2 linked regions of the Bombyx mori genome follow. The protein of the gene in region 1 purifies or fractionates together with the protein of each later gene. This does not show direct contact. Links are inferred from orthologs where the notes say so. Each region holds a gene or a part of one and is shown on either strand. Other genes may lie near its edges.

Evidence for each region.
Region 2: the proteins of mitochondria-associated granulocyte macrophage CSF signaling molecule (region 1) and DnaJ domain-containing protein purify together in Homo sapiens (affinity purification with mass spectrometry; 3 studies listed by BioGRID and IntAct, with this or other methods). This does not show direct contact. The link is inferred for Bombyx mori from reciprocal best matches to the Homo sapiens genes PAM16 and DNAJC19.

What each region holds. Positions count from the first base shown.
Region 1 is NC_085113.1:10,832,192-10,835,469, reverse strand, and holds mitochondria-associated granulocyte macrophage CSF signaling molecule, read left to right. Parts: upstream 1-1,469; 5' UTR 1,470-1,514; coding exon 1,515-1,898; 3' UTR 1,899-2,538; downstream 2,539-3,278. Other genes in the region: DNA replication licensing factor Mcm2, read right to left, coding at 785-787; transmembrane protein 169, read right to left, coding at 2,763-3,278. UniProt on the Homo sapiens protein: Regulates ATP-dependent protein translocation into the mitochondrial matrix. Inhibits DNAJC19 stimulation of HSPA9/Mortalin ATPase activity.
Region 2 is NC_085121.1:12,782,775-12,786,714, reverse strand, and holds DnaJ domain-containing protein, read right to left. Parts: upstream 2,567-3,940; 5' UTR 2,434-2,566; coding exon 2,431-2,433; intron 2,083-2,430; coding exon 1,843-2,082; intron 932-1,842; coding exon 815-931; 3' UTR 714-814; downstream 1-713. UniProt on the Homo sapiens protein: Mitochondrial co-chaperone which forms a complex with prohibitins to regulate cardiolipin remodeling.

The sequences.
Region 1 (3,278 bases):
CGTAGTACATTATTTTATTCTATCATCAATAGTTTTCGCAGGGCACGCGATGTAAAGAATATTTTAGGTAATTTTTTACACCTTCGGTTACATTATTAGAGTTTTAGTAAGGATCCCAAATTTTTTTCAAAAAAAGATTATGCCTATGTCACTCGGGAATAGTCTAGCTTCCAAACAGTGAAAAAATTTTTCAAATCGGTTCAGTAGTTTCGGAGCTTATTCAATACAGACAAACAAACAAATATTTCCTCTTTATAATGTATAGAAGTATAGATAATTGTAGGACAGAACAGTTCAATTTGTGAAAGAAATTGTTTTTTTAATATATATGGGTAACGAAATCACAGCGTTTAAAATTTGCAAGGTTTGAAATAAATTAATTTGGGTTTTATTAAACATGTTGGAGTTTGTATATAAATGTAATGGCAGGCAACACTTGACACATGATTACAGATTTCGAATATTAGAATTATTTTAAATGTTTAAAAAAAACAGATGATTGTATTCTCGTAAGAAAATGTCAATACTTCTCATCTAGACACGGCAAGAGAAACATGTAATAGTTTTATAAAAAAAATATAAAGTAAATAAGTTTATAATGCTGTAAAAGTGTTCAAGCTATCTGCAATATAATTATAATGAAGCAGTTGTGTTTTTAAATAGCCCCTCATCACCTACAGAACCCAATCCCCTCAAATTTAACCGTCCAACAAAACATAAAGACACGAGTTCGTAGTTTGTAAACAAATGGAGAATTGTTTTATTTATTTATTCAAATACTTACCATTTTGTTTAAAGTAAGCAATTAAACGATCACACAATCACAAACAATAGTTTAAACAAATTAATTAAAGACTATAAACTAATAAAATGTACAAAACAAATAAGGCGGTTACAGTTACAAAAAAACGTAGGTTATGTTTATGAACCTTTTTTTTTATAAATTTTACTGACTTGGAAACAAAGTCTTTTAAGCCAGTTTATGAAGCTTAAGGCGTTAATCTTATTTTATATGTATCTTCATATATTCTCTAACTTTCCTAATCTCTCCCATGCGAATCAGTTAAAAATTTTTTGATTACTTAGTTTCCCAAGCGTTTATTTTGCTTTGTGGCAAATACGCAAGCCGAGCGAGCCAAAATCAAACAGAAGAAGAAGAAGAAGCTTAAGGCGGAGGACCATATATTTCTTAACAGTTTGGTCAATTTTGACAATTATTTAAAATATGATTTAATTTTGTATTTTAAAAATATGCTGTAACTATGTCTCTGCACATTAAATAAAAAAAATGGCTTTAATTTTATTCAGCAATGAATCTTTTTTCAGCGTACAAATAAGGGAAAAAAATCAACAATCTTAAAGCTTATGGACTACATTCCCTTTGTCATTTGGAGAAGAACATTGAAAAAAGCGTTTTCACTGTATTTCCGTCAGTCACTATTGACGGTTAATCTATTTATTTTGTGGTTATTTCGTAATGACAAAAACTTGTATAAGACGGTTGATAATGAAACATGGCTAAATACATAGCTCAGATAATAGTTTTGGGCGCTCAGGTTGTAGGTCGAGCATTCGCACGCGCCTTGAAACAAGAAATAGCTGCATCCCAAGAGGCAGCGAAGAGGGCTGGCGGTGGACCCGAAGGAGCGCGGAGAGCTGCTGCCAATGCTTCCACAGGGTTGACTTTAGAAGAAGCAATGCAAATATTAAATATAGAAAAAGTAGACCCCGAGAAAATTAGTAAAAATTATGAACACCTTTTCGCCGTAAACGACAAATCGAAAGGAGGTTCGTTTTATTTGCAATCGAAAATCGTAAGAGCGAAGGAGAGATTAGATGCGGAACTAAAACAAACATCACCCAACTCCGAGCAGGGCCCGTCTAAAGACACTTCATGAGACTCGGCTGTGATTTAGTGTGTAGTGATTAAAATTAGTAAATTGATTTTCCTGTAAAATATGTTTATTGAGTACAAACGCCCACAATAGTGACTAGAATACATCAGTCTTCATAAACATTGATTATGCTTTAATACAAAATTTCATTGATATTATATTGCTGTAGAAAGTTTAATACAATCAGTTACATTACTTGCTAAAGCATTGTTACTTTTATTGTTTTAATAATCAATAAATTATTGCTAAGCACAACTTTTTATAATTTTATATTGTACATTAAACTACCTGACACATTTTTTTTGCATTTTCAGTAGCCAATAATGCTACAGTTACATTTTTCTTAACCTTAATAATTAAGTTTAAAATAATATGAGATATGTAAAAATCACACACTACAATATTTATTATTAAAGTTATTGACAGACTTGTGATATTCCTCAATTTGTAAAAAAGGGCAAAAAAATCATTCACTATTCTAATGACTAGACTGACTAGGTTATATGGAATGTTTTGGAAGAACTTGAGCAAGATTTAATATAAAAATACAAATTAATTTACCATAAAAGTACTACCTTCCTCCTTGTTCCCAATCTCTTATAGCGCACACAATCCAAACACTTCACAATATTATATGCTCCCTTATTAAGACAATTCTATGAACACCAATTTCTGGTTTTCAAATATGTAGCATTTCATAACTTTTCTTGTCAATTGAGCAGAGGAAATACACTACATTTTATTATATAATTAAAATGCTTCTTTGAATTATTGTTGTCAGCAAAACGGTATACAGCTCATAACAGCAATAATCAATATTAAATTTATATTCATGGCAGTGTCATATAAAAGAAAGAGACAAATTCATTATGGTTTTACGTCCATTAAGACCACAACCTCATAAGGACTACACTCTGACAAGCTTAACATATTACAGAGCCAACCATAGTAGCCTTTCTCAAAATCACATACATCCTTCCACCAGTTACCGGCGCTGAATGTGAGCTGTACGATTCCTGCGTATAATCCAAGGCCAATGGTGAAGATCACTATCAAAAATGGATAACACAAAATTATCAATGGAGCTAATACAACTTTTTTAATGCAACTAAAATTTTCAGTTATATGTGTGAATATGTTATACCACGTTATGGTCCCCATATAAAATGAGTACAAAGCCGAGATACATGTCACAAATGGAATGCAGATAAGAGTAAACAAGAACACATGAGGCCCATTACGAATAGAGCACTTTGAAATATCCATCTTGTTGTATTCTTCAGCTACGATGGTAGCTTCAATTATTTCAAGTTCTTCTCGAGATATGTTGAGTTTGACGTCTACATTCTGACCTTTTTTCTTACCTCTTTTAATTGTGCCAGT
Region 2 (3,940 bases), on another chromosome or scaffold:
AGAGTGTATCCCAAAAATTTTGTGGAAAGTGCCCCCGACACTGGTTAAAATCCACGTTTGGGGCTGATTAACGACAAAGGGAAGATCTTCCACCGAGCGGGTGATATTTGCTCGGTAGACCGACGGTCCGAATGTTGTTTTTTTTTCCTACCTAAGCTGATAGCCTTAGGGGCTATTTCAGCGTAACCGTGGCTAGTAGGTGAGCGCTCACGGGGCTCAAACCTGATGACGTTGCTAACACGAACCCTAGCAAGAGCCGTGCCTCGCAGAATCTACCACCGGATCGGAAACGCGACCCACTGAGAAGATCCGGCGAGAAACTCAGTGGGCTGTGTCTGAGAGTTAATTTACTCGTAGAGCCCTTCGTCGCAAGCGACGGGTTCGACGAGAACGGTGACCGGTGCTTGAAGTACCTAAAAGCACCGTTAGTGGATCGGGAGGATCCGAGATGACGTCCGAATGTTGTTATTCGGAACTTGTATATATGCGCTTTATCTTGAAAATGTCGTAAGCGAGATTCAGGCATCTGTCAATTACCTTGCGTTGTGTGATGGCTACCCGCCACACACGAATTTATGGCATAATACATATAAATGAGCACTATATGTAGAAAATTCAATGAAATAGGTTAAGAATAAAAAACCATGGTAATTTGAAAAATATTTCTACTTAGCAGCTGCATTTGTAATGCAACTAAAAATTAAATAACTAAACATTTGTTAATACTAAATTCATTATTAAATCTAGACACAAAATGATCACAATCAAAACTAAGTCTGCAAAACTTTCGTATTTACAAAAAATATTGTTGTGCCTATGATTTTCCACTTTCAAGTAGATCTTTAGCTTCATTGATCTTTGCTGCTATGAGGGGTGACCCACCCCTATCAGGATGATTTAATAGCATTATTTTACGGTGAGCATCTCGAATCTGAAAAAGAAACTTGTGAATGAAATAAACTGTACAATTACTATTAAGATATTTTAATATCTAAATGAGGGCTTTTTATGTGACCATGATATTTATAGCTGAAAATCAAATATGTATTCTTTATAATCACTGGAAAAATATGTTTCATATCGCTATATTTAATGTTTTAAATTAGACAAAGTTAACAACCTATACAATTCAATTGAGACTTCAACTGCAAGGTTGATATTTGAGGAAGTATTCACACTGTGATACATATAATGTATGGAGCTTCAAAACAACTTGGAGCATGAGCTTGTTGACTCATCTAAGCAAGGAAAAACTAATAATTAATAGTTGATTGGAATTTAAGGTGAATGTATGTACTTTTTATGTACTTATAAACATTGTCTAGCTAAGGAAACATTTTTGATCTTGTTTTATTTAATTTTACTACCCATTTTATAAGTTACAGATGTTATTAGTTATAATACAACAATTTACAGCTAACAATAACATTAAAACTAAGTTATGCAGATGTTAAATATATGTATAGACTGCCCAAGACCGATGTAAATGGAAGGATTTGATTCGAGTCCTACACCCCAGCAGAGGGTAGTAGGAAAAAAAGGAGGAGAAGAAGTGTGCATCATAAATATTAGCTTGTACACCTGGATAGATTTCACTGCTCACGTACAGACTTGCTAGGAAGTAGGGCCCTCATGTGTCAGCAGGGCTTTAGCCATTTTTAGCGCTGTATAAGGTATGCTCCTACTTCTTTTGTAATCATAAAAGTTTGATGTGTTCCAGTTTGAAGGACAAAAAAGACCTATCTAGCCCTTTCTACCGTTTACCACTCCCGAGTGTATCTATGACTAAAGATGACCACTTGCTGTCAAATAAGGTGGTTAAAGACAATCAAAAATATTCACCTTAGCTTTACTGGCTGTGGGGCTTACGCCTAAAATAAGAGCCGCTTCCCTTTTCGTCATTTTTGGTTCAAATCCACCTTTGTAATATTTAGAATTTGCTAATGTTTCAGAGTCGAATTTAGGTAAATTCTTCACTGCTTCGGCAAATTTCATTGAAGCGTTTGGCATTTGCTTTAGAACATATCGTCCGGCGAAACCGACCGCTGCCATACCAAGACCTGCCAGAATTATTGAGCTAGCCTGAAAAGTAATTGGATACCCTAAGTACTAAATGCGTGGTACTAATTATTTTTATTATTTCGAATCTCAAAATCTTTGTTTTTGAATGGCGCACAGGTGAGTAAAATTAGGGTTATGTTGTGTCAGAAAGCTGGATGAAAAGTTGCTCTGCTGTTCATTTAATGTTGCTTTTATTATTAATGCAATAAAGGGGACAACGTAACCAATACCCAAAGAAAAAATTTCAGACCCCCTTTTTAAGAAAGATATATCAGATATCCTGTAACGTTATATTGTTGGGATGTTCTATGAAAAAAACATTATTATCTATTTGGAATTTGAAGTCTATAAGATTATTTTATAACCTACCATAATAACCTGCGTATTAAATGGTTTTGATAACAAACAAATTCATAATCACTTGTGTGTACAAATCACTGAGTGAGTTAATGTTATTTTCAATTTTCAATTTCGTATCTAGACACTCATTTAATAAGTGTTCTAAATAATCTATGCTAGACACAATTTAGAAAAATAAAGTAGTAGTAATTTTATTTTACCAACTGGAAAGGCCACGGTGTCAGACCATACAGCCTAATCTTTTGTATATACCGGAAAAATGGGGCGATTAGGGACAAATTCCAAATTTATGACCAATTTTAAGGTAGTTGTTGATGTATATAATGCTATATCAGGATCAAAATGATTGAGTCTTGGGGGCATCATTATTGTCCAATTTAAAACTACGCAACTAGCATTCCAGTTTAAGCAAAAAAAGCAAAAATAGGTGTAATCCCTATTTACCCGGAAATAGCGGTTAATTGGGACGAAATGAGAAATTTGCTAGGGTTGTAGGGTTTAAATTAATTTATTTTGTTGCATAAAAAATATTGAAAAGCTGAAAAAAGTACATGGGAGATGTCACCTCTCCCCCACTCTGAACAAATATTAAATATTTTATTATGTATGTATGTATGTACTTAGACATTTTTGTCCACCTTGAGATTTCATTGTTCTTGTTACATGTCTGTGCAAAATCGACTTACTTATATTAAATTGCTTAGCTATTTCAACTAAAGACTTATTCCCAATTTCATATGCTTCTATTGCTGTTTTTAATATTAAGGGATCATATCTCTTATGAGGCTTTGCACTCTTTGATAGATACACGCGAGGCATATCTAAAAATAGAAAACAATACTTAACTGATAATATAAATATTTACCAAACAATAAAATAACACATTGATAATTTTGAATAAAAGTTCTAGACAAAAACATCATGAATAAACCAGATTTTTACCAACAAATTTAAAAAATATTGTTATAACTACATAGACAACCCTACAAACCTGTACCTATTTATACTTAGGTCGTTTCCATTTCACGTATTCTCATCCCAATTGACCCTTTTTTCGTTTTTATTTGTACCTAAGACGTCCCCAATATCCCCAAAAACAACAGATTTTGACATGTATTTTTATTTTATCAAATACATTAAAACCAATAACAACTGAGACTTACCTTTAATATATATGATGGTTCAAACACTAAATAACGTTTATAAATCACAGTCGTCTTCTATTATTATCAAATAAATAAAAGAGAGCAAAGTTTCTAGCACTAAAATAATTACCACCACAGGAAGTTAATTTGAAACGTGATTTTTTATAAGTTAGCAGCTATTATCATGCATATTCAGAGTTGTTTTGTAAACTTTCAACATTCTACTATTAAACTACAAAAAATGGAAGATTTTGCAACGAATATAAAACTAATATTGAGCATCGAAAGATTTTCCCGGTTTTTTCCCGATTCGCCTCTCAATCCCTAATCGCCCCATTTTACGGTATATATTTTTTCATAAATGAAAAATGATA